Callithrix jacchus: one gene and its partners. The protein of the gene in region 4 interacts with the protein of the main gene of each other region in a biochemical or structural test. Links are inferred from orthologs where the notes say so. Each region holds a gene or a part of one and is shown on either strand. Other genes may lie near its edges. The genes, in order: WAC, H2BC21, UBE2B, RNF20 and UBE2A.

What was found.
Region 1: the proteins of RNF20 (region 4) and WAC form a complex in vitro, tested with the Homo sapiens proteins (2 studies listed by BioGRID). The link is inferred for Callithrix jacchus from reciprocal best matches to the Homo sapiens genes RNF20 and WAC.
Region 2: of the proteins of RNF20 (region 4) and H2BC21, one has a biochemical effect on the other in vitro, tested with the Homo sapiens proteins (3 studies listed by BioGRID). The link is inferred for Callithrix jacchus from reciprocal best matches to the Homo sapiens genes RNF20 and H2BC21.
Region 3: the proteins of RNF20 (region 4) and UBE2B form a complex in vitro, tested with the Homo sapiens proteins (4 studies listed by BioGRID, with this or other methods). The link is inferred for Callithrix jacchus from reciprocal best matches to the Homo sapiens genes RNF20 and UBE2B.
Region 5: the proteins of RNF20 (region 4) and UBE2A form a complex in vitro, tested with the Homo sapiens proteins (4 studies listed by BioGRID, with this or other methods). The link is inferred for Callithrix jacchus from reciprocal best matches to the Homo sapiens genes RNF20 and UBE2A.

The regions. Positions count from the first base shown.
Region 1 is NC_133508.1:28,789,753-28,795,861, reverse strand, and holds the start of WAC (WW domain-containing adapter protein with coiled-coil), read right to left. Parts: upstream 4,033-6,109; coding exon 3,992-4,032; coding exon of another isoform or gene 3,661-3,991; exon of another isoform or gene 3,594-3,660; coding exon 3,558-3,593; coding exon of another isoform or gene 3,557-3,557; exon of another isoform or gene 3,502-3,556; intron 2,059-3,501; coding exon 1,844-2,058; intron 1-1,843. Other genes in the region: uncharacterized protein LOC118143121, read left to right, coding at 3,661-4,722; uncharacterized protein LOC144576520, read left to right, coding at 4,990-5,322.
Region 2 is NC_133519.1:9,819,346-9,825,522, reverse strand, and holds H2BC21 (histone H2B type 2-E), read left to right. Parts: upstream 1-2,482; 5' UTR 2,483-2,524; coding exon 2,525-2,905; 3' UTR 2,906-4,713; downstream 4,714-6,177. Other genes in the region: H2AC21 (histone H2A type 2-B), read left to right, coding at 1,252-1,644; H2AC20 (histone H2A type 2-C), read right to left, coding at 1,801-2,190. UniProt on the Homo sapiens protein: Core component of nucleosome. Nucleosomes wrap and compact DNA into chromatin, limiting DNA accessibility to the cellular machineries which require DNA as a template.
Region 3 is NC_133503.1:32,757,033-32,763,302, reverse strand, and holds the start of UBE2B (ubiquitin-conjugating enzyme E2 B), read right to left. Parts: upstream 3,442-6,270; 5' UTR 3,322-3,441; coding exon 3,278-3,321; intron 1,189-3,277; coding exon 1,108-1,188; intron 1-1,107. UniProt on the Homo sapiens protein: E2 ubiquitin-conjugating enzyme that accepts ubiquitin from the ubiquitin-activating enzyme E1 and transfers it to a E3 ubiquitin-protein ligase. In vitro catalyzes 'Lys-11'-, as well as 'Lys-48'- and 'Lys-63'-linked polyubiquitination.
Region 4 is NC_133502.1:149,777,266-149,782,856, reverse strand, and holds part of RNF20 (E3 ubiquitin-protein ligase BRE1A), read right to left. Parts: intron 1,383-5,591; coding exon 1,215-1,382; intron 1,100-1,214; coding exon 952-1,099; intron 801-951; coding exon 618-800; intron 1-617. UniProt on the Homo sapiens protein: Component of the RNF20/40 E3 ubiquitin-protein ligase complex that mediates monoubiquitination of 'Lys-120' of histone H2B (H2BK120ub1).
Region 5 is NC_133524.1:115,472,987-115,479,325, reverse strand, and holds the start of UBE2A (ubiquitin-conjugating enzyme E2 A), read right to left. Parts: upstream 4,295-6,339; 5' UTR 4,119-4,294; coding exon 4,075-4,118; intron 3,930-4,074; coding exon 3,849-3,929; intron 3,451-3,848; coding exon 3,425-3,450; intron 1-3,424. UniProt on the Homo sapiens protein: E2 ubiquitin-conjugating enzyme that accepts ubiquitin from the ubiquitin-activating enzyme E1 and transfers it to a E3 ubiquitin-protein ligase. In vitro catalyzes 'Lys-11', as well as 'Lys-48'-linked polyubiquitination.

The DNA of each region.
Region 1 (6,109 bases), on a different chromosome or scaffold from region 4:
GGATTACTTCACCTGTAAAAGAAGTGGCTGAGCAAGGTTTGCTGAAACTGAAAGCATTTACAAAGTAAGTTTGACTGCAAAACTGACTACTTGGCATTTGGGGATAACCTGGATCACAGTCACTAAAATTAGAGCCATTTGTAAGAAGATGAGATGCCATACCCTATTTTGTTACAATCACCAAATTTTACAAAATAAAGTACAGTTATAAGTACAACCAGTACCTGCTCTCCATGAACTAACATCTGAAATGAAATCCACTATAGAAGAGTAACTGATAGATAGTACCATCTCAGGCTTTCTCAGGGTTTATGTAACACTATGGAAAACTTACCCACCAAACTGAAAACTTTAAGAGCTTAATTTTGCAACCCAGTAACTTCTAACACTTTAATAATCAAATATACCTGCTACTACAGTTACAAACAAAAATGTTTGTATCTGCATATATAACACTAAGCTGTAACTAAATTCAACAGAGTATTTTCTCCTCATCCAAATTATTCAATCCCAGTGTAATCTCTTCTGACTAGTATTTCTCTCAAAGCAGTAATTATGTAAAGGAAGCCAATGTTTCTTGATATATGATCACACTGAATAAAGCTGATTTCTGTCAAGGAACCAGAAGATGCAAGGTATTTTTTAAAGTAAGCAAAGTATTGAGAAACTAGTTGCCAATAGGGGCAAAAAGCCACACAGTACTTTATTGAGTTTCTTTGGAAGCTTTAATATGGTAAATCTGCTTAACATATGTTATCTCCTTAAGCAATATGTTACAGTATGAGAAAATACAGACGTCTTTAATTACGTTATTGAAACTGGATGCTTCTGACTTGAAATGTAATTTGGGCAAATTAAGTCTGGAAGTAGTTACTGAGTTGGTTTTGTTTACTTATTCTCAGCCTCCTACCACAAAGAGCTTGACACAAACTTATAATTGAAGGTACAGCATTGTGCAAAAGAAATCACATTAACTTTCAAAAAGAATAGTTCAATGAATAAGGTATAAAAATCACATCACCAAAACTGGAGAATACTGAAAATAAAATGTTTACAACAAAAAGCAAGAATGTATTCTCTAAGTCACAAATAATTTTTTAAATCTGGGAACTATCCTGTAAAAGCATACTATCATTGTAATGAGAAGAGATCTGAACACCTTAAAAAGTAAACTGAAGCAACAATAAGGATCTCAAAATAAATTGAAATCTTTACTTAAAAAGGGGAAAGTTCCTTTATCGGAAAAAATGTCCTGCATTTTCCCCATCCTTAAGAAAGCATGTTTCAAACTATACTTATAAATTCATTTCCTTATTATCAGACACTAAAGTCCACTTTTTATTTTTTTGTTATGGAGTCTCGCTCTGTCGCCCAGGCTAGAGCACAGTGGAACCACCTCAGGCTCACTGCGCCCTCCACCTCCCAGGTTCAAGTGATTCTCTTACCTCAGCCTCCTGAGTAGCTGGGACTACAGGTGCCTGCCACCCCAAGCCTAGTTAACTTTTGTATTTTTAATAGAGACAAGTTTCACCTGTTGGCCAAGCTGGTCTCGAACTTCTGACCTCAAGTGATCTGCCCCCACCTCGGCCTCCCAAGTGCTGAGATTACAGGCATGAGCCACCATGCCTGGCCTTAGTTTCCACTTTTTAGATGCTCACATCAGCATCTTATGTCTACAGTAACTTGTTTAGAGTAAAGGGAAAGAAAAAAAAACTGATAGTAGTAAAATATTTTAATGACATAACCACACAGTAATTTCAAGCTTGAAATACTACTGCTGCGTGTTTTATATACAGCTACTATGAAACATATATGTCAAAGTTTCAACAAGAAAGCTACTCACCACCATCCCTCTCTCTAACTCTGTGAGTATGCACATTTTTGGCCTTACTGTGACCTGTGCTGTCACTGTATTTGTTTTCAGGACTATCAGATCTCCGCAACATTTTATTTGGTGGTGAAGGATCTGCGGCGTCTCGCATCTTTTCATGTCTGTGATCACCGCTACTGGGGTGACTCTTTGATGAATACTTAAGTGCCTGTAAAACATCACCCCCCCAAAAGAGAGAGAGAAAGAATTGAAACCTTAAACTTAACTCCAGAAACTAATTTAAACAAATTTTGGTGTATTAACGTCATCAAATTTTATGAACTTAAATTTCCACTTTGAATTCTGCTCTATTCTTCAAAGTTTCTCAGACAAAACCTAATGCTTAAGTGTTACAGTAACACTCCTGGTACAAATCATAATACTAAATGAAAAAAAAAAAAGAATCACTCCATTATCTTGTAACTAAATCAAACCACCTTGGCACACTGATTCTGAAAAAAAAAAAAATTCTGGGAATATTTAAAATCACTTTGAAAGTTTACTCAGAGGAAAACTAGAAATTCAGTACCACTGCAATCAATTTCTGCTATACAACTGATATGCACAAGCATATGAATAAGCACACGCGTATTTTTGCAAACCTACCAAAAAAAAAAAAACCCACACACCAGTTTCTCCAATTCTATGATTCAAATAAAGCATTTCAGACCTAACTTCCCTACTCTTACAGGTGTGGGAAACAATTTTAAGGTATAAAAATATTGACCAATACACTAAGGTGAATACTATTTCTAAACAAGCATAATGCACTCAAAATAATAGTTTAGCTTTATTCCAACATATCTTAAAACCACCATGATGTACTAGTCTGTTACAATGTGTAATTAGTTATGCTTTGGAGGACAGATTCAATAAGGTTTAATTTTTGACATATCCAATGTTTTACACATCAGAGAACAGTGTTTTCAAATTCCGCTGTATAACAACACAGGAATCAGGTTAGAAACCTGCTCTCTGATCTTTTAAAATCTAGAAAGGATTTCCGTAGTCATCTGATGATTACCAATCATTTATATTTCCCTTCTGAAAACTGGGGCCACTTCTATCATAATCCTTAGAACTTTACAAGCAGGGACTGCAGTAACAAAAAGGAACCCGCCTACCTAGAACCACCTACATCAGAATGAATTATCCAAGTACCAAAAGATCTCAATTCTTACAGAAACAAAAGCACACATCTTTTACTTGTACAGCAATTAAGTATACCAAAAATATTAAAAGGGGAAATAGCACTTTTTACCGACTTAAAAGTTGTAAGTCATTTAGCTATTTATCCCAGGTCCTTCACTTAATTTTAATGCCTTTACATTAACTTCCAGTTCCCCAACACAATAAATAAATAATTAAGCCTCGGAAGTCACCTATCATCTCATCCCTTCGATTCCTTCACCCGCAAATAATCGAGTCAGGTCTTCCTGGCTGCAAATGATTCTTTTTTTCCTAAATCAGCGAACTTCCTCCAGTCACCTGTCAAAATAAGTCACTAAACCTTGCTGGAGAGGGCCAAAAGCACCAAACCCCGAATTTTAAGGGGACCCGCGGTGCTGGTTTCCGATGTGTTACACCGAAGGGCCTGTAGCGACTTCTGAGGCCTGCGCTCGAGTAGCAGTCCCTCCCTTCCCCCTTCGGCCCCTTCCAAACCCTCCACCCGGCCTCGGCTAGTACCTGGTAAGGCTGCGAGTCCCCCCTCCGGTCGTGACAGCTGAAAAACAGGAAGAGAAAGCAAAGACATAAGACAAGGCGTGGGTGGGGGGCCAGGGAGGAAGAAAATGGGTCCCCAATCGCCCCTCCCCGCGGGAGACCTACCCAGCGCCCCGGCGCCGAGCCCAGCGCGCACAAGGCGCAAACCCCGAGCCTCCGGGAGGGCCGGGGAGGGCGAAACGCCGCGCAGCCGGGCCCCCGCTCCCCGCCACAGTCCGTCCCTGCCAGCCCGCCCGCGCGGCCGCTCCTCCTCCCCAATCCGATCCGGATCAGGGTTAACAACAAAAATGGCGGCCCGGCCAGCTCTAGATAAGAAGGAACAGCCCCCCCGCCGCCGCCGCCGCCGCCGCCGCCGCCCCCCGCCGCCGCCGCCCGGCCCGAAACGAAAAGACAATTTACCCATCACTGAGTCTCTGCTGTTTCCTCGCATACATTACCATCAATGCCCGGCCTGTGAGTGTGTGTCGGGGAGGGGGGAGAGCGGCCGCGAGAGGCGGGCGGGCGGGCGAGCAGGCGGCGGCGGGCGGCGGGCAGCCCCGGCACCTGGGCCCGGCGCGCCCTCGGCGACTCTCAGCACCTCCCAGTTACTGGCGCCGGCGCTCCCGGGCCATCTCCCTCCGTCGACACCACGCTCACTCTCAGCCGGGGAAGCGGCGCCAACTACACGGCGGCAGCGCGAACCGGGGGGAGGGGGGCAAGAAGATGCGTCCGGCTCAGCCCCGCGGAGAGCGACTGCCTCCTCCGCCTTCTCCTCCTCCTGCTCCGCCGCCTCCTCCCCTCCTCCCCCCGCCGCCGCCGCCGCTGCTGCCGCCGCCTGGTCCTTCTCCTCCTCCTCCTCCACCTCCTCCCGCCGCCGCTGGTGCCGCCGCCGCCGCTCCACCAACTACATCCGGGCAACTCGGACGCTGCCGCCTTCGGGAAACCTCGGCAGTTTCCGACGTGCCCCTCCTCTCCCACCCTCGGCCTTCCTCTCCTCCCCGCCCCGCGCGGGTCCGGAACGCCGCCCTCGGCAAACCTCGGTTGGCCCCGGCCTCTTTCCTCCTCTGAGGCCTGGCTCTCCTCCTCGCGACCTGTCAGCCCTTTACTTCTTTTCCTCACTCGCGAGTCCGGCCACCGCCGTTTCCGTTTAGGGATAGTCTCGCTCGGGCACCCGCTCGAGGCTGGTCCCAGAGGCTCCGGGCTGCGCGGGGAGGGAGCCGCCTTCCGGAAGAGGACGGTGGGGCGCGAGGGAAGCCATCGCGGACTTAATAAGGGAGGCTGCGGCGGCTGCGCGTGCGCTCAGAGGCGCCGCGGGAGGGGGTACCCTCGGGCGAGCTCTCCGGCCGCGGCCCCCGCCCCTATGGGCTCGGGCGGGGAGGTCGGAAACCCCCTGGCGAGACCAGGGGCGGACGCTTCCGATGAGCTGCCTGGTAGGCAGTCGCGAAAGCTACCCTCTGGGTAGCTGGGAGCGTACTCCAGCGCCTTCGGGCCGCTGCTGGAAGCCGGAACCGAGCCCGGGCCGCTGCCCCTCACCGGTCGCCGCGGGCGCCACGGGCCCTCCGTGGCGCAGGGGCTGCAGCAAGCTCGCCGGGCGTCCTTTAGACGTAAGTCTCACCCTGCGCCCCGGAGGGGGAAGGAGCACATGCTGGCCCGGGGAGAAACGGCCGAGAGGAGGAGCTGAGGGGTGCTGTGCCCGAGGCGGAAGGCGGTGCACCACGGCGGCCCTCAGCGGAGATGCCTGCACGGAGCGGGTAACACCATTCGGGGCAGGGAATGAAAGCGGTGCTTGATAGTGGAAATTTAGGGAGATGGGTCCCTTGGAAACAGCCCTGAACTGTCTCACTGCCCCACCTCCCCTCCCTTTTTTTGAGACAGGGTCTCGCTCTGTCGTCCAGGCTGAGTGCAGTGGCGCGATCACGGCTCACTGCGCCTCGACCTCAACGGATCCTTCCACCTCATCCTCCTGAGTAGCTGGGACCACAGGCATGTACCACCACGCCCGGCTAATTTTTTAAAGTTTTCCTGGAGATAGGTTCTCACTATGTTATTCAGGCTGGTCTTGAACCCCTGGCCTGAAGCGATCCTCCCGCCTCGGCCTCCCAAAGTGCTGGGATTACAGGCGTGAGCCACGGCGCCCGGCTTCTCACCCCTTTTTAACGTTTTGCATACCCAGCTGTGCCCCGCCCACCCTCTATTTATCTCTCACTTTTTCCCCCTTCTGATTCTTCGCTGAAGTCCGCGAAAGGAAATACATGTTGAGGTTCTGGATGTGAATAAAGGCTTGCGGTGTGTTAGGTGAAATTGCTACAAATGAGATTTTATGTACTGTTGCAGCCACATTGGGAGGAGAAACGTCAAGTATACCAACAACCATTAGTTGAGAGTGGTGGTATCCGGTGATTGGTTGATTTTTTTTTTTTTCTTAAACTGGAAGGAACAGTAGTTAAAAGAATTGTAGTCAGAGTAAATATGTGATTAATACAGAAGAGGCAAAATGGTAAACAAGTTAGAAGAAAAAAGACACCCACCCCCAAAAAA
Region 2 (6,177 bases), on a different chromosome or scaffold from region 4:
AAGAAAAAACAAAACAAAACCCCAGAGCTTTCAGGAAAGATTTCTAAGGCCGCTGAAGTCATACCATCAATTAGTGCCTGACGGCGAAGTTACGCTTTCCTGGCTGTTGCTGAAATCTAAGGGATGATGATGTGGACAAGGAAGCATGGAGAAAACGTCTGAAGGATGTTAAGGAAGCAACTGACTGCACATGCTGAGACGAAGGGAAGAGTCGTGTGGATGTAAGTATGTTGGTGCATTTCAGGAAAAGACGGCAAAGGGGAGGTTGTTTGCCTGCGTTCGCATTTGGATAGGCTGAGGTTGAGTTTGAGGTGCTCGTTGGGACAAGTAGGTTGACGTGTTCAGTAAGTAGTTAGGTATAAGGGGGTCTGAGCTTCTGAAACAAATTTGAATGTTAGTTGCAAGTATAGAAATGGGTAAGACTCTGGGATAAAATTGGAGATAGGGATGCCGAGTCCAGCTGGACTCGCAGATTTAGAGATGGGCAGTGGAATGGTTAGCAGGGTAAGAAAAGTCAGCGAGGTAAGAAAAACGGAGGGCGACATTTTGAAAGCCAAGGGAGCAAGTTTCAGGGCCGCCTCCTGGAGGTCAAGGGGAGGATGGCAAATCTATTGTAACTTCGGTCAAACCACCTTCCGAGGAGGGCAGGCGTGTGGGGGTGGAGCTGAGAAAGGCCGCTGCCGGCGGCTACACAGAAGGCCGAGAATGGAGGCAGCCTTAATAGTACCCGTGTTTTTAAAGAGAATTTGGCTGTGACGAGACAGAAAGGGCGGGACTTGGTACTTCATAGCTCGGGATATAATCAGCTTCAGAATCCTATTCTTGCGTGAGAGTAACTCTCCGTCCGTGGAAGTCTTCTGCAGACCCTTGGGGGGGTCCATCCTGGGATTTGCCGACTGTAAACGGGGGACAAACAAAACCAAACCCACAGTGCCACTCGGTAAAAAAGAACCAGCGTTCTATTTGAAAGCCTACTCTCTTTAAAGGTCCTGGCATGCAAATAAGGGGCTTTAATGTGGCTCTCAGTGATTGGTAGGTACTGACAAAATCCGTCATTTCCTTTCGGCGCAGGATGCAAACCGGGAGGCGGCTTTCTGCTTTCCTATTGGCTGTTGGATACGGCTCCGCTTTCAGCCAATCAAACGACTTCCCTTCACCCCTCCCGGTGGCTCTTATAAATTACATCAAATTGGTTATCCCTTCCACATTCTTCTCCTTGAAAAAGAAGCTGTGACTGCAATTTTAGCCGTAATGTCGGGACGCGGAAAGCAGGGGGGCAAGGCCCGCGCCAAGGCCAAGTCGCGCTCGTCCCGCGCTGGCCTCCAGTTCCCGGTGGGGCGAGTGCACCGCTTGCTGCGCAAAGGCAACTACGCGGAGCGGGTGGGGGCCGGCGCCCCAGTGTACCTGGCAGCGGTCCTCGAGTACCTGACCGCGGAAATTCTGGAGCTGGCGGGCAACGCGGCTCGGGACAACAAGAAGACGCGCATCATCCCTCGCCATCTGCAGCTAGCTGTGAGGAATGACGAAGAGCTCAACAAGTTACTGGGGGGTGTCACCATTGCCCAGGGCGGCGTCTTGCCCAATATCCAGGCTGTCCTGTTGCCCAAGAAAACGGAGAGTCACAAGCCTGGCAAGAGCAAGTAATAAATAGGCTTGACACCATACCCATTCACCCCAAAGGCTCTTTTAAGAGCCACCAAAGTGTCAAATGAAGGGCTGGTAACGAAACAGCGCATTAGCTCTTTTTTTGAAAACTTGGGTGGCTCTAAAAAGAGCCTTTGGTCTTTGGTTTGTCTGCATTTATTTGCTTTTGGCTTTGTGGCTTTCGGTTTTCTTTGGTAACAGAACGGCCTGGATGTTGGGCAACACGCCGCCCTGGGCGATGGTGACTTTGCCCAGCAGCTTGTTCAGCTCCTCGTCGTTGCGGATGGCCAGCTGGAGGTGACGGGGGATGATGCGCGTCTTCTTGTTGTCCCGAGCCGCGTTACCCGCCAGCTCCAGGATCTCGGCGGTCAGGTACTCCAGGACCGCCGCCATGTAGACGGGCGCGCCGGCCCCCACCCGCTCCGCGTAGTTGCCTTTGCGCAGCAGGCGGTGCACTCGCCCTACCGGGAACTGCAGGCCAGCGCGGGACGAGCGCGACTTGGCCTTGGCGCGGGCCTTGCCTCCTTGCTTGCCACGGCCAGACATGATTAAAACCAAGGCTAAACGCAGACAAAGCTCAGAACCACGCAACAAAATAAGATTGAAAGATCACCAAGAAGAAAGCCTTTATAAGCTTTCTTAGGGGTGGGGTCAAGGACGAGTTTTTCATTGGTCCTAATTTGGCTTCAGAGCCGGCCAATCAAGTCAAGAGTCGGTATCGCTACGTAGACGTTGCTGAAAACGCAAGGTCCACACACGGACCAATGGAAGTGAATTAGTTTCGGAGCCTTAATTTGCATAAGATGGTTATAAAAGGATCAGGTCCGCCCATTCTCTTACTTCTTTTCTTGGCTAAGTCGCGTTGGTACTGTGTCTTACCATGCCTGAACCGGCAAAATCCGCTCCTGCTCCTAAGAAGGGCTCTAAGAAAGCCGTCACTAAAGCCCAGAAGAAGGACGGCAAGAAGCGCAAGCGCAGCCGCAAGGAGAGCTACTCCATCTACGTGTACAAGGTGCTGAAACAGGTCCACCCCGACACCGGCATCTCGTCCAAGGCCATGGGTATCATGAACTCCTTCGTCAACGACATCTTCGAGCGCATTGCGGGGGAGGCGTCCCGCCTGGCTCACTACAACAAGCGCTCCACCATCACGTCCCGCGAGATCCAGACGGCCGTGCGCCTGCTGCTGCCCGGCGAGCTGGCCAAGCACGCCGTGTCCGAGGGCACCAAGGCGGTCACCAAGTACACCAGCTCCAAGTGAGTCCCTGCCGGGACCTGGCGCTCGCTCGCTCGCTCGAGTCGCCGGCTGCTTGAGTCCAAAGGCTCTTTTCAGAGCCACCCACCTAATCACTAGAAAAGAGCTTGTTCACTTACTCCCTTAGTTTTTTCTCACAAAGTAAGTTGTTTTAGCATAAGTCATGGGAAATAGCACACGTAGCTTAATCATTTGGAACTCGAGGTCCCCAGTGCATGATTGGATTTGCTTTTGAATCTAGAGCGTGTCGTTATTCATTGTGCTGCTTAGCTTTCCCAGGAGTCCGTTCTCATTTAGGGTGTTGGGAATCCGACTCTGCCCGCCCCCACCCCCGCCTTACACTGGCGCCCTGGTGGCTTCGTTGGGTCTGTTTCATCATTTCAAAACCAAGTGGCTGAGTCCGGCTGTTACTTAAGAGAACTCTGGGACACAATTCAGTCCGGGTGCCGCAAACTGCGTGACAGCGCTGTATGACTGACGCTTCGCAGCAGCTTTTGTGTCCGGTCACCAGTTTTGCCCTGGGATGGGGCCTCCTGTGGATGCCAGCCGTTCTGTGTACTTTGGACGAAGCCCGCGCAGCCGGGTCCCAGCCTTTTCCTGATTGGGCGACATGACTATTCGAAATTCTGCGCCGCTTTCTAATTTGTAGATTTCAGTTTCCGTGGTTCACTTTGAGATTCCTACTTCTCGGTTTGTGGATAATTTTTGCTTTTAATGGTGTCTGCTTTAAAATGGTAACGCTACGGCCCCGGGTCACTGCAAGACACCATGTAGATATGAGCTCAAAAGTCACCTCTCAGAGACCTTCTACGTCATCCACTCAGGAATTCGCGCCTCTCATAGTTCCCGGTCTCGTTTTATCTTCCTCGTAGCAGCTGTCTGAAATTGGCTCGTCTGTTTTCTTCATGGCATTCTCAAGCCCTTGACAGACCGGATGGTCTGGTTTTCCCGTGCCTCTTCAGCCAGTCAGTCTGGCACATTATGGACACTTACTTCAATACTACGGATTGAAGTAATATTGTTGGGTTAATTTTTCCATCCCACTTGTTTTTTAATCGCTTCTGTGGATGGATGATGGGTGCTGTTCATTTCCATTAGATGTACGTGAAGGCGCGGTGAAAATGGAAATGTTTTTGAAGTTATTCCCTCAAATGTATCCTTAGTCACTTCAGTGCAACAGCTGGGAGGGGGCCGTGTTAAGATTCTTTTGCATCAAAGAGGAGGTGGCAATGGTAGTTCCACCTTTGTGCTTCCCGGTTTAGCCTAACCTCCTTTGGATTTTCATCAAATTCAGCGTATTGGTCATGGGAAAGAGCCTTTTTCCTTCTTTTCTACTCCTGTCTTGGTGTTCCCTTCTTAAAGGAGAGGAGCTTTTAATTTGCACTCACCACCTGGTTTGGTTTTCAGGCGGCCATTCAAGATGGGCAGGACTACAAAGTTAATCTCTCTCTCTTTTTTTTTTTAAACAAATGAGGCCAAGAGAAGCCTGATTGGTCCATGGTCATGCAGTTCATACTGCCCACCTTTGTATTCTCAGATGCAGGACAATTGCATTTTAGTTTTATTTTGTGGAAGTGCAGAATATTTACTCTTTCTGTCAAACCCTTGATTCTGCCGAGGAACACACTGATGGTTTGATGAGTGATTCAACTCTACTTTTAGCTAAGGGCTTTGGGAGTTGATTGCAGGGGTTTGATGAATCCAAATGAGCTCTAGATATTATCACAGACTGAATAAATCTTAATTGTCTCCTACATGTGTGTTTTCAAATGTGTGTAGATGTTATTATTAATAAAGTTGCCAGTTAATTTAAAGTCTTTGCTGAATTATTTTATCTACAGTATATTTTCTCAATGAATGAGATTAACAGATACAACTTCCACTGGTTCTGTAGAAAAGCTTGGGAGCCTCTGAGCTGGGGGATGACTTGTTTATAAGCCACCAGCCAAACTGCTGCCCCAAAGGTGCATTGGGGCTTAAATAGTCTGTTAGAAGGTCACTGTTGGCTGGGTGCGGTGGCTCATGTCTATAACCCAGGACTTTGGGAGGCCAAGGCAGGCGTATCACAAGGTCAGGAGTTCGAGACCAGCCTAACATGATGAAAACCTGTCTCTATTAAAAAATTTTTTTAAAAAAAGGTCACTGTTAATGCTGAGTAATTGAAAAATATATGATCACAAATAGAAAGCAGTACAAATAAGATTGAAGAAATAAAGTTCATAATAAAGTTAAGCTAACACCTATGGAGCACTTACTATGTATCAGGCAGTGTTCTAGGTCCTTTATACATATTGACACATTTAATTCTCACCAGGGCCTCAGGAAGTAGTGCCATTATTATCACTCACTTTACAGATCAGGAAACTGAGGCACCGAGAAGCCTTTTTTCAGAAATTCTCCAGAGAATTAGCTCCTAGGTTAGCAGTTAAGGGAATTGAGAAATAGGGTCATTCTGAAAACCTGGACCCTATGCGTTAGAATTGAAAAGAAATATCACTGGCTTTATTCTCTTCAGAGTGCACCCTGGATATAAATCCTGGGTGGTGGTGGCTGAGCACCTTGAGAGTGGGATAATGTGGCTGTGATCCTCCATCCCAGAGGACATAGCTCAACTCAACTGAGTTTGTCCCCACAGTGGTGGGGCTCACCAGCTGGAATCCTTTGACTAACATGAGAGAGCCTTAGTTGCTGGTTTTGGGCTCCTCCTGGGCATGATACTCACTGGGAAGGAAGTTATAGAATGGGAAAGTGGGGAACAGGTGCTAGAGTTTGATATTTTAACTCTGGAGGGGAAGTAATTAGTGATGGTGAGATTAATCCTCAAGAACCTCTTCGATCATTTCTGCTGGGCATCTTTAAACATTTGCTTATGTTGGGGTTAATAACAATAATTGTTGTCGGGGTCCGGCACGTCTGCCGGGGGACTACCGACCTGCGGGAGTCCCCGAGACTGCCAACGTAGATGTCTCGTTCAACCTGAGAGAGAGAGTGCGCGGAAGAGAAAGAATAGAGAAAAGTGGAGTCTGGAGGGCTGCGTGAAGATTATGGTCAAAACGCAGCAAATTTATTCTTGTGGGTTACAGCTTTTGTACCTTTTTTCTTGTTTACATTTACTTTATCCCAGTAGAAAGAAAAAAGAAGGGGTAAACAGAAAGGAAATAGAAACTCCATAAAAAATAGTTATCAGGGGCTTGTGATATCCACACAGAAGGCAGTTTAAGGGGGCTAGTGGTAGTAGTTTACATTTCAAAGATTTTACATTTCAAAGATACAATGGC
Region 3 (6,270 bases), on a different chromosome or scaffold from region 4:
TTGCCACCACATCCCAATTTCATACTTCCTAAGCAGCAGCACAAGGTTTAATTATTACTTGCAAGGCATATTCAGGATCTCAAAGTAGCCAGATAATACCCTGAATATAACAGAAGTGCTTTATGAGGGTGAACCTCACTCATTTTCCACTAGTCTTTAAATGTAGACTCTTGTAGCTGAACTGGAGTATCAGAATTCTGTTTATCAACATATTCCTTTTACTTTTTAATGCATATCTCGAGTTTCAAAGGAATGAAAGAAAAAACAGATCAAGTCTAGAAAAACCAAAGAAAAAGCATAAGGAAAATTTAAATTAAAAAGCATATATGCAACATATATAGTACGTAAAATTTACAACTCCTCAAATGGCTGCATTCTGCTACTTCACACCGGGCTGTGAATCCTTTTCACTTAAATACTTGCCACAGTAGAAGTTCTTAATATTTTTGGTTCCAAATCTTGTAATAGCTCCAACAGAATTAAAGCATTTGCATGGTATATTTTATACAAAATAATTTATATTTTCTCCTTTATTATTCCATTCCATATAGTTTTGAATAGTATTTTAAAGTAAAACCTGAAGTGATTATAAAACCCTATAATAAAAGAGCAAATAAATTGTATATAACTGCTGAAATTTTTTTCCTTTTTTTTTTGAAACATAAGGGTCTTGGTTCTGCTGCCCAGGCTGGAGTGCAGTGGCATAATCATGGCACTCAAATTCCTGGGCTCAAGTGATCCTCCTGCCTCAGCCTTCCAAGTAGCTGGGACCACAGGTGTGCACCACTATGCCCAGCTAGTTTTATACTTTTTGTAGAGATGAGGTCTCACTATGTTGCCCAGGCTGGGCCAAAACTCCTTTTTTTGGGGGGCAGGGAGAGAGAGACTCACTGTTTCATTATATTGCTCAGGCTGGTGATGAACTCCTGGGTTCAAGCGATCCTCCTAGGCATGAGCTAAAATTCTAATTAAAAAAATTTTTTTCTAATTTATCTTGTAGTTTTAGTCCTGAAGATCTCTCAATCCACCCCAGTTTCTTTTCCTAGGCAGTTGTTATATATTCACTTAAAGATTCAACACACACCTATTATAAACCTTTCAACTCACCCAAATATAACTGCATTCCACTGCATGATGTTGTTTTCAGATGGTGCACCACTGACACCCACAGGTGGGTCCTCTTGTAACCTAGAAATCCGGAGTGGTAATTTAAAAAGTTGAACATTAAGGCCACTAAGGAGGCCACATAAACACCTACAGACACTATACCATCTATTGTGACACAGGGACTAACTCCATTTCCTTGTTACTGTGAACTAAAATGAACCCTATGACTTAAATATATTAACCAGGTATATACACTTATTAAATACCTCTCCAAATTATCTAAAAATGTAAAAGGCTTGAGAATCATCCCTTTTTCAATATTATCAAGATTATTATCTCTTCAAGAATTGATGCATACAGACTGTCCTCTTAAACCAAAAAAAAGTTTAAAAACTCAAAAGCAAATAATATTTTTACAGAACCATCGATTTTGCTGCTCTAACCATCCAAAGACTGTGTGTCTTAACCACAGGTACTTCTGCAAAATGGCTAAAAAAAGAAAAGCAAACCTCAGTGTAAACACTAATGACTGAAAACACGTTAATTACAAAACTAGTATTAGGCAGATTTACTTTATCCCTTTTGCTTCAAACGGCAATGGCTTTAAAAAGTAATCAGTAGGTTTTCTGCCAGTCCCTATTTTAAGGCTCTGCACTAACACCAAATCTACCTCTCAGATCAGGAGACTCAATACAAGGCTTTCCAACATTCCTCAAATTCTTATAACCTGCAGACCTTTGGAAAACTTCAAAAGGTGTCATATACTCAACTCAGAATTAAGCAGAGCATTACAGTAAGGAGCCAGGGAGACAATGACGTGAACTAAATTGCTATTTGAATTTTAGTCACAAGTGCCAAGCAAATACACTAATTTCAAGCTTTAGAAAGATAACTTTTGCACAAAAAAGGGCATCTCCTTTCAGAGACTGTAGTGTCAATTAAAAATGCTACATTATACACACAAATACATATGCAGTCGTTTTCATGGGGCATCACACTTTGCAACTAGTCCACATTAAAAAAAAAAAAGGTTTTTAGTCAATTTCAAGCAAATTAGGCCGCCACGAACAGAAGCCTCACAAGAACTGCACTGCTTGACGCCTACCTTTAAATGGCTAAGAGAAGCTACCAATGAATTAAATAAGTTGGCCAAAGCCCAAAACAATGGATGGCTTCCAAATGCTTCACATAGGCTTTATAATGGCTGAGTTGAGAGGCGACTTCCTGAGCGACAAATCTAAGTTTTTAGGCCAGATATTTTGTCTCAATTAGGGCAGGTATCCCCAAAAAAAATTTTAAGAAAAACGTGCAGAGTTATCAAAATGCTGTTTTCTCACATGTTTTTCTATGTCTCTAAGTATCCAATTAAAGGCAAACGACGGACTAATCATTCTCTTTCTCACAACCCCAATACCTCCTAACAGTTAAAACCCTATTTATTTACCAAAGGAGGCCCAGGGAGTATCAAATTAGCGCCCGTCTAAGGGAAGGCATTTTTCCAGACTCGGGAGGCTATAGATAGGGCTTTCTTCACCAGCCAGAGCTGAGTTCCAGAAGGCACTGGCAGCCGGGGTGGCCAGCTCTGAGGTCCCAGATCTCTAAGTCGGTTCCCAAGGTCCTTTCAGGCGGGCGGGGACAGAGTCGGGTTTCGGGGGATGGGTTAAGCTCCGGGCCTCACGCACTGGACCCCACCCTCACGGTAGAAATGGAAAGGACCGGGGCGTGGTGCGGGGGGTTTCGCCCCAACCCGGCTCCTCGGAGAAGACGGCGGGGCAGTGAAACAAAGCTGACCGGTGCAGCCGGCGAGGAACAAACTCCCGCAGGAGCTTACTTTAAGAGGACAAGAAGGGGGCGCCGCAGGGTGCAGGGGCGGGTGGAGGAAATCTGATCGCCGGGCAGCTGGCCGAAAAGGGCAGCAGGGAACCCTAGGCCAGTCGATCGACACCGTTTTACTTTTTGGGGGTAGGAGGAGTATCGAAATTTATTCGGCCGCCAAAACGAGAGGCAAGGATAAGGTAGTGGAAGCCGAGGCTAGGACCCGGCTTCTGCCAGTTCTGCTGGGCCCACAGCCGGCCCTCGGAGGGTCACAAGGGGAAGGTGTCCGGGATCCCCACCCTGCAGCCCCGCAGCTTTGAGGGGCCGTCATCTAGGCGGACGTGAAGGCCCTTACCGCTTGAAATCCCGCATGAGCCTTCTCCGGGCCGGGGTCGACATGCTCCCCAGCTGCCCCGCGGTCAGTCTGAAAGAAAAGAGTCCCGCGCAGCCCCCCCACCCCCCGGCGCGGCGGCCAAATCACTGTGGGTAGCTGCCGCTGCTGCCGTCGCCGAGACTGACAAACAACCCTGCAATGACGTCTCCCTCCGCCGCCTCCGGATCCCTCCGCCCTCCGGATCCCTCCGCCCTCCGCCGCTACCACGGAAGAGCGTTGGGGGAGGAGGGGGCGGGACGCTGGAGCGCGCGTTCTCCGAGCCCTTCTGCGGGGCTGGGTTCAGCCTGGGCTTCCTGAAATGATCGGCAAGTTTGTGTACTCTGTGCTTACACTAGAGGTTGTGGATTCAGAGACCACGGAACCGAAACACTATCTGTCCCCCTCCCCGTCATTAGTTTAGACTCGGCGGGGTGGAGAGAGGGGGGACTCATCCGGGCCAGAGATTTCAGGGAAAGGAGGTGGGATGACGTAAGATCACGTGACTGACCGTGGCCTTGTCAACAATCCACCCCTGAGGGGGAGGGGGAGAAGTATCTAGAACCACGTGTCCCTATGACGCCTTTAGAATGGGTCACGTGAAAGCCTCGCCTCTATGTGAGTTTCAGCCAGCTCTATGAAGCTGGTTCAAGGGAGATTACACCTTTATTAGTTGTTTCCTGTTTATTACAGGTTAGAGACATCATTACCCAAGAGATCATGGCAGAATCAACAGCTTGTTTTGTTTTGTTTTGTTTTGTTTTTTTTTTTGAGGGTTTTAAAATTATTTATTTATTTTACATTTTGTAGAGGCAGGGTCTCTCAAAGTGCTGGGATTACAGGCATGAGTCACGTTTTGTTTTCTTTAAACCGGGACCAAAAATAATTCCCCTCTGGTTGGTTCAGTGGCTTATCAACTCTGCTATTGGGGCAAGAAGGGTATTGCACGATCTTCTAAGGCAGCATTGAATGTTGAGGCCCACACAACAATATCCTGCAATGCTTCCTTGAAGCTACCAAATAGTCTTTCAGCTTTGCAGTGGGGTTTCTAGTATTGAAAATTTTGGGCAAACATTAAAGGATGGTGTATTATGCAGTTTTTCCTTTCTGGGTCTGCTTTCATTTGAAGATATGTGTCAGAGTCCGGGACTTGCCTATAGGGGGTTGTACCATTGTATATTTTTAAGGAATGTGGGGTTGCAGACTTCCAGGCTTATCAATGAGTGGTTGGTTGTCAAAGAAACCTACAAATATGATTTATACCTGGGGGAGAGCTCCTGTAGATATGAGTGAGGGTTATAAATCTAGCCTGAAGGCCCGGTGCGATGGCTCACGCCTATAGTCCCAGCACTTTGGGAGGCTGAGGCGAGTGGATCACGAGGTCAAGAGATCGAGACCATCCTGGTCAACAAGGTGAAACACCGTCTCTACTAAAAATACAAAAATTAGCTGGGCATGGTGGCGTGCGCCTGTAGTCCCAGCTACTCGGGAGGCTGAGGCAGAATTGCTTGAACCCAGGAGGTGGAGGCTGCAGTGAGCCGAGACTGCGCCGTTGCACTCCAGCCTGGGTAACAAGAACAAAACTCTGTCTCAAAACAAAACAAAACAAAAAAATAAATCTAGCCTGAGATAACTTTAGGTTTTCTACACTAGCAAGTAAAGTGCAAATGGGCCAGAAGTGCCCCCCCATCACCAGGGGGGTTCAAAAGTGTTGATCTCCCACAGACCTTGAATATTTTCTGTAGTTACTGTCCTTCCCTCTATTGCTTCCAGTTCCTACCCTCAGGACTTTGTTATACTAAGGACTCTGAGTACTGAGGAATCCTTCAGCTCAACAGGGAAAGGGAAGGTGGAATGAAGACCTTAGCATTGCCTCAACCTTGCCCATAGTTCCATGGAAGCAGAGTTAACTTTTCCGACTTTCCTTGCATCTTCCTCTTTAAACCCTGAATTCTCTCTCTGCTTCCAGTGACTGCCTCGGTAATCGAGTTAGGCAGGCCTAACTCTTGATAGGTCCTGTTAAACATTTCACAATGTGTTTTCTAAGTCAAAAGCTGAATATTCTTAATTTTTTTGCCTTTCTGCCATTGCAGTCCTAACCCTTCCGATAACAAAAGAGAAAGATACACATGTAAGGTTACATGGAGAAAAATGGTCAAGAGAAACTGTATCTTAAAAATATTCGGCATGAGCTGAGACATAAGCTCATGCCTGTAATCCTAATACTTTGGGAGGCCATAAGTTTGAGACCAGCCTGTGCAAAACAGGAGATCCTGTCTCTGCAAAAAGTAAAATTAGCTAGGCGTGGTGACATACACCAGTAGTCCCAGCAACCTGGGAGGCTGAGGCAGAAGGATCGCTTGAGCCGAGGAAGTTGAAGCTGCAGTGAACCATCATCGTGCCACTGAGACCTTGACAAAAAAAAACAAAAACAAAAACAAAAACACCTTATAATTTACCAGTTAAGGCAGTCACTGAAAGCAGAAACAATTCAGGGTTTGCAGAAAGGGAGGTACAAGGAAAGTGGAAAAAGTTAACCTTTTCTGGTTCCATGGAACTATGGGCAAGATTAGGAAAATGGTGAGGTCTTCCTCCCTCCCTCCCTTTCCCTGTTGAGCTGAAGAATTTCCTAAATGGATACAAATGTGCTCAGAATCCTCTTGACTGACCAACGAAATACTGAAGATGGGAACTGGAGGCAACAGAGATAAGGAATTCAGTGACTACAGGGATTTACAATTGTTTTGGAAACAGTTTATTTTCCAAAATGAAATAACACTTTGATTAATTCAGTGAATCTGCATCATAAAGTCTTACAATTGTGTATTAGCAAGAATCACTGGCTGTCCTGGTTAACCAGGCCTGCCACAACCTACTTGTAGAAGGAATAATTTTAAAGCTATCAATTGTATGCTGTTATCAATTCTGTAGCTCTGGATTATGAACTCACTGAGGGCAGGGAAGGGACTCCATTTGGT
Region 4 (5,591 bases):
ACCATGTAGACCAGGATGGTCTCGATCTCTTGACCTGGTGGTCCACCCGCCTTGGCCTCCCAAAGTGCTGGGATTATAGACGTGAGCCACCACGCTTGGCTCCTCCATTTATTAAAGGACTATCATGTAGCTCAAAATGAAAAGCATTGATAAAAGATTAATATGCCATAGTGAAGACACTACCAGTAATATTGAAGGTTAGAATTTTAAGAAATATAATTAAAAATAAATAGGTAGCCCAGGCACAGTGGTTCATGCTTGTAATCCCAACATTTTGGGAGGCCAGGAGCGAGGGTCTCTTAAGGCCAATTTGAGAACAGCCTGAGCAACATAGCAAGACTTCCCCTCTAAAAGAAAATTAAAATATTAGCCAGCTGTGGTAGTACATGCCTATAGTCCTAGCTACTCGGAAGCTGAGGCAGAAAGAATGCTTGAGTTCAAGGATGCAATGGACTATGATGGTGCCACTGTGCTCCAGCCTGGGTGACAGAGTGAAACCTTATCTCTTAAAAAATAAATAAAAAATAAATATGTAAGTTTGCAAACTACAAATTAGCATGCAAAAATGAGTTCTTATTCCTCCTCCACTACTCCCAGCCTCCAGGTTCTTGCCTCACCTCCACTGTTTAGCTTCTGGGATAAGAGCTCCACTTTTTCTTGCAATTTATCATAGACAGTCACAATCTGGGACACGGCTCGGCGGGAAGACTCCACACGTTCCTGCAGCTGAGACTCCATCTCTTCACTAGAACTGCTGGCCAAAGTAGCAAGGAAAGAGAAAGCTGGCTCTTGCCCTTCCCCTGAGGACACAGGGGAAAAAAAAGAAGCCCCCCCAAAAATTAAAACTGGATATAACAAAATCCATTGTTTTTCCTCAAATGAAAAGCAAGCAAAGCAATACTTCAAATATCCAGATAGCATGCAGTGATAGAATCCATCACAAATACTTGCCTCTCTCTCGGTCATCTTTACGTTCCTGATTGCTATCAGAGTCTGGTTCTGGCTCAGGCACAACAAGGGCTTTTCTTTCTGTGAGTAGGTCCCCCAAGCCCTGCTCCAGATCATAACGTTTAAGGATGATACGGATGTTTTCATCAAACTGGAGAAGAGGTAAGTACAATTATGAAGAAACAAAGGACCCAACTTTGGAAATGAATAGTAAGGAGAATTAAATTCGTCAAATAAAAATCTGAGCAAATAAACAAGTTAGCTACCTGACTCCAGTATCGGTTGACAATCAATAGAGAGGCATCATCAGTGGCCTGTCGTCGTTCCAGTTTTTCAATGTGCTCACGAAGCTCATCTTCAATGGCCTGCCGCTGATCCAACATTTCTGCCAGCTTGCGGTTTTTGGTTTGCAGTGTTCGAATATCTAGCTCCTCCTGCCCAGTAAACCAATCTTATTAGTCTCCACAAAGAAATTAGAAAAATGAGCTGTTAACAAGGTCACAATAATTCATTAGTTATTTCCTATGAATGAAGTTATTGACTTTTTAAAAATCTTACAAGTAATTAAATAAGAGGTAGAAGCAGAAGAGATAACAGGTATATGATGATGTGAGGAAAGAATAACACACACAAATAAACCAAAATCTCAACCACACCCATCTCGCTGTTCCAGTCACATCAACATCTACAAAGCAATGCTACTTTAAGGCTAGAGTACCCAGCTAGAGCACTCTCTACTCCAATCAATACTGTCATCTATCTCCTAAGCACTGCACTTCATTCACTAAAGACTTCAGCACCTGGGTTCTTGTCTATACCAGTTCCTGCCAATATATCTGGTGACTTCAACATACTTGTGGACAAACCATCTAAACCCCTAGCACCTAGGCTGTCAGTATTTCCAATTCCTTCACTCCAATGATTATCTCCTCCACTGTGCTTCAGCCATGCATTTCAAAAGCCACATCTTGGACTTCTGTCATTATCTGGAACTGTACTAAACTGTACTAAATCTAAAATCTTAAATTCCAACTTCCCATTCCCTGAATAACACCACATCTTTCAGGTATCTCAAGCCCTTAACCCAATATACCAATCCCTTTACCTCATTTAGATCTCCAGAATGTTAAGTTCTTTTCTTTCTCCTTTTCGATCCCCTTCTATCTCCACTACCTTCCACATTTTAATTATATGCTATAGAGTACATTCCTTCAAACACCTGCCTAACAGCTCCCTCAGTTCTCCGACTTTAATCCTTTTATTCTACCTTCGTGAACAAACCCCAGTCTGAATTAATCCAGATATCTGACTATTTCATTCCTGTACCCAGTATGCTGAGACTTCTAGAGAAATTCATCAAACTACAGAAACCAGTGCCTTTACAAAATGAATTCTGAACCTAAACAGATCTTATCATGTGTCCAGAAATGTTTCTTTATCAAGTGAGCTCTCTCCCATTCTCCATAAAGGCAGCATCAACCTCTACCAAACCCTGCCCCCTTTTATATCATACTAAACAGATGGCTTTATTTCTTATTTTTATGAGAAAATAGAAGGCATCAGAGAGGAAACGCCTCAATTCCCCATCTCTTTGACCCAGTCACATAATTATGCACACATTCTTAAAACTCGGCTTGTGCTCAGAATCCTGTTCTCTTCTGTCTCTACAAAACCCTCACTCCATTAGTAATTTCACATTCCTCTCAATATTTTTCTCTCTCCAGCTTCTTCCCTATGACAAACCAGGGAGGCTTCGGCGGGAGGTGGGATGAGGGAATATAACAAGCAAAGAACCAGCATGTGAAAAAACATTCTTACTTTCCTGAGGAATTAATAAAATCAGTATTTTAAAGTAAGAATTGTTTATTACAGCACCAATTTTTGTTTCATTTTTCTCTTTTCCCTTTAGTTAAAACATTCCTAATATAACTAAGTAGTCAACAGTTTTCCCCACTGTACCACTTTATTAACACTACTAATAAACTCTATCTTCAAACTCTTCTCTAAACATTGCCTTTCCCTTCTTGCTCTACCTGAAACCTGGATGAGAATGCTGTTTCCCTGCAGGCTTCCAGTGGTGGCTGTTTCTCTTCTACACCCCTTGAAGCCCTGGAGAGATGAATATCTTCTTGTTTTCCATTGCCACTTCCAGGCGATTATCCCACCTTCCTCCCTAAAACCTGCCTCTGCAGTTCACGCCATTAGCCCATACCACCTGCCACCATGCTCTGTTGAATTCATCTATAAATGCCTACCTCGTTTCCTCACATTTCTCAAGATTTAGCACCTAGCTTATTATCACTCTCCAATACTTTTCCTGTCATCATTCTTTACAACTTCAACACCCATTCAGATAATCTTTCCTATACTTGGATCATCAAGTCATTGACCTCCTCTCCACCAATGATCTTGTCCTCTGCCTCCTTCAGTCACCAACTCCCACATTAAGTCTTACTTGTACCTACATGTCCTCTATAAGCTCAATTTCAAACATGTCATTCTTCACAACTACCACTATTTTTCCAGTTCACTCTCTCCAGTTTCCTTACTCCTAAAATCCTTCAGTCTCTCCAGGATCTACAATCCACTGGTCCTATACCTTTCACTTCTCTCACTTCCTTCTGTACTGAACTTAAATTCCATGATCAGTCACTATATACTCATCTACTTTACAGTAACACTCCTTTAAAGTATTGTCTCTACTCTCTTTTCCCTAATTCCTCTCCTCTCATATTCTCTTAAGCTCACTGAAAACAGGTTGCCATCCCCACTAATCCACAAACGTAGGTGTTGTGGTATCTCCAATGAACTCTGTATTATTAAATACAACATCTCAGTCCTCTCTTTACTCTCTGTTCCAACTGAAACCTGAATGAGAACACACCTGCACCACCTGATCAACTCCTTGAAATACTTTCTTCAGTGGGCTCCTGGGAACCCAGCCTCTCTTACCTCATTGTCCCGCATTGTTTGTATCTTTGATTAGTCCTTTATCATCTCCTTGACATGAAAATATTACAGTGCTCCAGCAGACCTCTTTATTTATGCTTATTCCTTAAAAGAGTCTGTAGTCTCAAACATTTAAACACAACTTACAAAATGATGATTCCCAAATGTATGGCTTTAGCCCAGACCTCTGTCCAGCATCCAATTTATTAACTACCTATCCACTCAGGGATCAGATAGATATCTCACACTTGTATGCCCCAAACCAAACCAAATTCAATTCATCCTCCATGACTCCCAAAAATCTGCTCCTCTCTGGCTAAGTAGAAACTCCAATACTTTCAAAATCCTGGGGTGATCCTCCCTCCTGTCTTTCATGTGAGTTATCCAATCCATCAGCAGATCTTATCAATGCCACCTCCACAGTGGTCCAAGCCACCATGATCTCTCATTAAGATTAATGCAAAGGCCTCCTACAGCAAACACTCTGTGCTAAGTCCTGTCAGCCTGACACATTTCAGCATAGCTGTGGTGGACAGCTCCATTTACACTGCTAGTGTTCCCACTTGAATTACCCTTGGGAGACTCAGTTTTCCTGACCCACAATCACAGCTGGCACATAACAGCAATCTCAAAATGCACAGGAGGCACTGCTTTCAAAGGCAACCTTCAACCAACTGGAGCAGGGATCAATGGATACATGCCTCAGATCCCCACATTTGGAGAGATGGAGTTGTAGGGAAAAGGGAATAAAAAGGAATGAAGAAACAACTCTGCTAACTGGACTCTTGTTTTATAACCCTTGCTCTTCTATAGTCTCTAAACATAAATGAGAGCATGTTACTCCCCCTACTTAAGACCATCCAATGGCTTCTCATTGCCTTCTGGATAAAGTCCAAACGCGGGTGTGTGCTATGTGCTTTCCCTAAGTATGTGCTTGTCCCTATGAACAACACATATCCCACTCTAAATAGTCTATTCCCTTGTCAGTGCTACCCTACAAACTAAAGTCTAGGGGCTGTCTTCAGTGTAAAGCACAGTGTCCGGAAAATAACGAATACTCAACAAATATTTATATACTGAGTGAATAAATGCCTTTGGAATGCATGATGTAAGGCAGTGCTAAGACAAAACCACCTCCTGTTGGCAACATTAAGTACCAGAACCCAAGCAGCCTCAGAAATAACACATCATCAACAACTTACTATGAATGTTCCTATTATTCTGACTCGAAAAAAAAAAAAATCAAACTCTCTTAAAATAAACCTTAGCCTCAAAATCAAGTAACTAATAGACGTAGTTTTGTAAGCCATACAAATGCAAAGCATTTTAACATCACATCCCCATGGCTGAGTTTCAAAAAAGTAAAATCTTGACCTAGATCAAAACCTGTAAACTTCTGATGTCTAACAGATATATAACATTACTATGAGATTTTGGTACATAATACTCATTTTGTCAGCTCCATTAGAGCAAGGATAGTATGTACGTTATGCACCATTATATTATCTAGCCCAATATTAGCTACAAATGGCTCACATTTATTGACTATTTACTATGTTAAATGCAAAGTGTTAGCCCTTAACAGGGACTCTCATTTTATCTGCATAAAGATCTAACATAGCAGGTACTTTGATTACATTTACAGACAAGAAAATGGGCAAAGGAAGGCTAACAGAGATCAGCCAGGTAGGAAG
Region 5 (6,339 bases), on a different chromosome or scaffold from region 4:
TTAGCCGGGTGTGCTGGTGCTTGTCTGTAATCCCAGCTACTCAGGAGGATGATACAGGAGAATCACTTGAAACCAGGAGGTGGAGGTTGCAGTGAGCTGAGATCGTGCCATTGCACTCCAGCCTGGGCAACGAACTCCAACAGAAAAACAAAAGAAAAAAGATTTATACACCAATCCTAAAGAACACATTTATTATGAAAAGCAAATACCAATACCTTACCACATCTATTAACAATTTTTAGATTATGTGATGAAGATTATATTCCATAACCTTTGTATTTAGCATGTATACCAAGATATTCTGATGAGAAAGCATTTCTCCCCAATGTTTTGGTAGTGTAAGCTCTTGAGACTATATTCCTCTTACTTCAAGTGTGTGAAGTTAAACCAAAATACCTGTAAGTGTTGCTTTTCTTAAGATTTCATCACTCTAACTAGGGCCTGGCTGTTCCAGAAACTTCCATAACAAATGGTTTACAACGAAGAAGCAAAGGTAGTTTTGGGGCTCTTAATTTACATAATACATTGGAAACAGCAAAACCAACTAGGCCACTTATCCCTAATCAGTCTTTTCTCTAACTGTAAATTCCCCAACTGTAAATAAAGGGTACTCAAAAAAATGGTTAAGGCCGGACACAGCAGCTCATGCCTGTAATCCCAGCACTTTGGGAGGCCAAGGCGGGCAGATCACCTAAGGTCAGGAGTTCGAGACCAACATGGCCAACATAGTGAAACCTTCTATTAAAAAGACAAAAATTAGTTGGGTGTGGTGTCGGATGCCTGTAATCTCAGCTACTTGGGAGGCTGAGGCAGGAGAATTGCTTGAGCCTAGGAGGCAGAGGTTGCAATGAGCCAAGATCGTGCGATTGCACTCCAGCCTGGGTGAGAAGAGCAAAACTCCATCTCAAAAAAAAAAAGGTTTAAAAAATAGTTTTGGGGAGCCACAGTGTTCCAAACACCTGAGGAAGCATCCATGGGTAGCAGACTGTTCAACAGAACAAATAAGCCAGCCTGAGTCAGTAATGCTGGGATGGAGATACACGTCATCAAAAATAGTCAGTAATGTCAAAGCCGACAGTCCTGGCAGATAATGGATTCAGTAAGTACCTCCTCAATTCATACCACTTAAGAGAAGCACCGTTGAAATACCTAGGTAGCCAACCGCCAACAAAGTGATGTACTATTAATAAAGCTGTGCCCAGTATAAAACAGAGTAAATGAGGAAAAAAGAAGCCAATGAAAACAAAGCTGAGGCCGGGAATGGTGGCTCACGCCTGTAATCCCAGCACTTTGGGAAGCCCAGGCAGGCAGACCATGAGGTCAGGAGTTCGAGACCAGCCTGAACGACATGGTAAAACCCCGTCTCTATTAAAAATACAAAAATTAGCCAGGTGTAGTGGCATGTGCCTGTAATCCCAGCTACTCAGGCTGAGGCAGGAGAATCGCTTCAACCCAGGAGGCAGAGGTTGCAGTGAGCTGAGATCGCACGCCTGCACTCTATCCTGGGTGATAGAAAAAGACCTGTCTCAAAAGAAAGAAAACAAGAAAACAAAGCCTTCTAGAGCTAAAGCAAATACACAGTTAATCTGTACATTTAAAGCTCAGGAATAAAGAACTAGTGCCAATCTGGTAGAGGAAAATTAGGTCTAGCTATAGTTTTCTTGCTACAGATCAGTTCAAATTATTAACTAAGCCAAAGTAGTATGCCCTTACAATCACTGTCTCCTGCTATCATTTCTTTTCATTGCATCCCTGACGAGCAAAGATATTTACCCAGCAGGTAAAGGCAGAGAGGAAGTTGAAAATATTCAGGTGATTGTCCACAGTTTCCTGGGGAAATCTAAGTATTTGAGATGAATTATAGACTTAGTTTATATTGACTTACCTCACAACATTTTGCAGACTGGTGGCATCAAAATGCAATCCGTCTCAGCAACATAAGTATGTATTAAGTAGTTTGCATAAATGTTTTTGTTCCCATCTTCAAACTGAAGCATGTGTGTGTGTGTGTGTGTAAATGCTATGTGATCGAAGGAAGATAAATCATTGAGGAAAAAACAGACCCTTTTCCTTTTTTTTAAACACCTCAAATATTAAAGAATTTCATGAGTTCCAATACTTTAATCATCATTTAAATGTATGAAACTTTGAAAAAATAACCACACACACACACACACACACCACACCATACACACACACCTGAGTATAGAACAATCAATGTCATTTTCCTGGTTGTGATAGGGTATAGTCATTCAAGATGTTACCAAACGAGAGGGTTTGGGGAGAGGACTGAGTTAAGTGTATAAAGGGTGTCTCTATTATTTCTTGCAACTGCACATGAATCTATAATTATCTAAACCCATAAGGTTTTTAAAAAGCAATTTACATATGTGTTTTTAAAAGACAAACCTAAATCAGTTACAAATTATGTAGCTACTGGTACATGCAGTATCTTCAAGTAGGCTGGACACTGATCAAAAGGGTACATTAAGGCGAACTTCAATTGTGAAGCTGCTTTGAAATTACTGACCATAATGTCTTGATGAAAACACACACTGTATATTCATTTAAAAATAAGAAAGAATGGCCAGGCGCAGTGGCGCACCTCTGTAATGCCAGCACTTTGGGAGGCCAAGGCGGGCAGATCACAAGGTCAGCATGACCAACATGGTGAAACCCTGTCTCTACTAAAAGTACAAAAATTAGCTGGGCGTGGTGGTGTGGGACTGTAATCCCAGCTACTCAGGAGCCTGAGGCAGGAGAATTGCTTTAACCCGGGAGGCGGAGGTTACAGTGAGCTGAGATCGTGCCATTGCACTCCAGCCTGGGCAACAGAGCAAGACTCTGTCTCAAAAAAAAAAAAAAAAAAGACAAATAAGAAAGAATACTATATTCAACTAAGGCATAAAGACCATCTTAGAGCAGTGAGGCTGATAGGCATTCAATGTCAGATTGTAGAAACCAGACAGTTGTATGTAAGGGATTCAACATCCAACACACACCTATCAAGCCCCTGCTAAACACAATTCCTGCCCATGGGGTAGAATTCTGAACCAGACAGTCTTTGGGGTCTCTGCTGACTGTCAGCAACTGGTTGGGTTTATACTAATTCAGCGATGTAGGGCTGAATTTAGCAGAATCACAGCCCAAGCTTCAAAAATCCTTAATACCAGTGCTATGATTGCTCCTTTTAAAAAGTGACTGCCTTACCCAGACTATTTTAAAAAGAAAGCAAGAAGAAAGGTGCAGTTCTAGTCAAGCATACAATATCCAGAACAGCCACACACTGCACTCCACTCAAGCCTTTAGCAGATAGAGGCTAGGCAGAGGCAGGTTCCTAAGTAGGAGACACTTCAGGATGACTGGGAACCCTTTCCCCAGGTGATCAGGCTCCTGAAAAGTGGGTAAAGAAAAACTCTCTTACCATCCTCAAATGGGGTCCCTTCAGGCCTGCAACACAGAGAAAAATGGTCAGTTCCCGCTTAAGGGGCCCCCTTCTCCCTGCTTCATGTGAGATGGCTATCCCAAGCCCTGCCATCTCCAGCACTGCTGCCTGGGTCGGAAGCCACTACAAATAGATGTCCTGGGTTCAGAGACACAGTGCAGGCCGCCGCGCCGTTATAACCGCCACCACTCCCCGCCCCGCCCCCCTAGAACCCCAAGCGATTCCCCCCTAGCAGCGGGAACTGAGCTAATCGAGGCACAGGCTCCGGGGAGGCGCCTAGGCCCAGCCAGACCCAAACATTCTCCCCGACCCCCTTGGCCTCCGCGGGGGGCCGGCCTCGGAGAGCAGTCCAAGGCGGCTCACGTCCCCAGGTCTCTCGCCACCGCCACGAACGCAGACTCACCCGAAAATAACCGCGTTCCACACCATTATGTTGTTCTCGGACGGAGCCCCGCTGACTCCGGCTGGAGGATCCTCCTGTAACCTTCCGGAACACAGACAAGGGTCCCCCTAGGCCGTCACTGGCGCCCGCTCCCGGCTGCTCCCCAGCCCTCCCCGCCCGGCGCGCCTCGGGACCCGCCCTGTGCCCCGGCTCGCAGCCCCCGGCCTCGGCCGTCCCCTCAGTTTACCTCTTGAAGTCCCGCATGAGGCGCCGGCGAGCCGGGGTGGACATATCGCGAACCGGGTCAGGGGTGGGGCATACACTAGGGTCTCGGGTTCCCGCGGCGGGCGAGGAGGCCGAGGAGGCAGAAGAAGCCGGAGAAGGGGAGGCGGAAGCACCCAAAGGTACCGCGCTACCTCTCCGAAGTCGAGGGTCGGTCTGGCGCCGGCTAAGCACCACCCCAGTGTAGACGGGGGATGAACCAACCTGAAAGCAGAGAGGGGGGGGGTGGAACGTCGAGCGCCGGACAGGCCGTACCAAGACGGGGCGGGGGGTGCTAGAGGAAAGTTGCTTATGTCATTAAAGCCCCGCGGGAGGCCCGGGGCGGGGCCGAGGGCAGAGGTGCTGGGTACGCGGGACCCCCGGGCGCTCGAGGACCTCGTGGTGGAACGGGGGTCCATTCCTACCTGCCAATTCTAAGGCAGCCCTTGGGAAGTTTTTGGCTTTTTAAATTTTTCTTTCTCTATTCTTTTTGTTGTTGTTGTTGTTGTTTTGTGACCAGATCATTCACGAAAATGCGCACCATACCCCGGGAGGAGGAGAGGAGAAGTTTGGAAGTCCCAAACCAGAGGACGGAGGAGTGGGCGGAGGCAAAACCGGTTCTCAAAAAGTGGCAACTCTAGGGCGCCCAAGCCCTGCGGACGTCGGAGACTGAGGGCAGAGGTGGGGAGGGGAGGTGATTGGTTAAAATCACGGAAAATCAAAAGAATAAATCGGCGTTGACTCTGTTGGGGGGGTGCTGTGGGACTAAATGCAGGCTTGGGCGCTCAACGCTTATGCCAATGATTACCCCAGAGGAGAATGAAATGGGAGCTTAAGGCAGGCACAGTAGGTTGTTTTCTGTTTTTTGGTTTTTTTTTTTTCCGCTTTGGGCACTCACAATTTGGCTCTGGAACCACATTTTTCCCTTGGTAGTTCAACAAGCCAAGCGGCTATTATATGTTCAGAAGAATCCAAGGTATGAGACTATCCGACTGCAGGGACAGTGGGTCTGAAGTCAAAGGAATGGTAAGATGCACTTAGAAGAGCTGCAGGTGGCAGGAAGAGTCGCAGTAGGTGGACCTGCAAAAGCAATAACAGTTTTAAAGGAGAATTTTTAAAGGTCAACTCAAAATAACTTAGAAGATAGGCATAATACACATTTAAAAATTATTGAAAATAGAAAGGTAGGCTTGGGTTAAACCGTCAAGAGTTTCGAATACCAACCTAATGGATTCCTTGGAAGTCCATTGAGCAGGGAAGTGACATCATTAGAGCTGTGCTTATCAGAAATTGATCTCAAGAGAGCAGGCAGGAGACTCTTGCAGTATTCTAGGTGTGAGATACTGAACCAGGCAGTGACAATAAAGGCGAGTAGGATATGAGTGAATGGGGAAGACCTGGCAACAGGTTGAATATGGAGGCGAGAGAGAGGAAGGAGTTAACAGTGGCTGAAACTCTAAACCCCAAGTTAACTGGGGATCTTAAGGTGCCATTAGCAGAATTACAGAATAGAGAGAGAGGGACAAGTTTGGGAGAGGAAATTTTGAGTGGGACTTACTGAGTTCATGGGACTGGTCAGACATCCCTGTGAAGATGTCCAGAAGATATCAGATGTGCAGGAGTTTGTTTCTAACATGAGAGGCAGGAGGCACTTGACAATGGTAGTGATTCTAGCTGCTGCTTAACAACAGGTACTTTCATGGTCAAGTATTTCTTATCTCCCATTAACTCCAACATATCAGTTAAGTCAAGTCGCCCTAATAGCATCACATTATGGCTGTAGTAGGAAGGGAGTACAAACATTTTTTTTAGAATCCTCTTCCTCTCATCTAGGAACTTGCAGTCTACTAACACACACATACACACATATGAAATGAACAAAAGCAAGATCTACAAAAGCAAATGCATTGGTATTCATCACTGCTTAACAAATTACAAGTTGTTGGCCAAGCCCAGTTCATTGCAATTGTGAGACTTTGGTCCCTATTTCCTTGCTAGCTGCCACCTGGGAACTACTCTTAGCTCCTAGAGACCACCTACATTCCTTGCCATATGGCCTACTCCATCTTCAAAGTCATCAACAGAGAATTTCTCTCCCACCGCATCCTTCTCCTTCTTTGAATCTTGTTTTCAGGAAAAGCCCAGTCTACTTTAAAGGCTTATCAGATCATGTCAGGCCCACCCTGTGGATAATCTCCCTATCTTAAAAACATCTAATTTGGAACCTTAATTACGTCTGTTAAATTTTGCC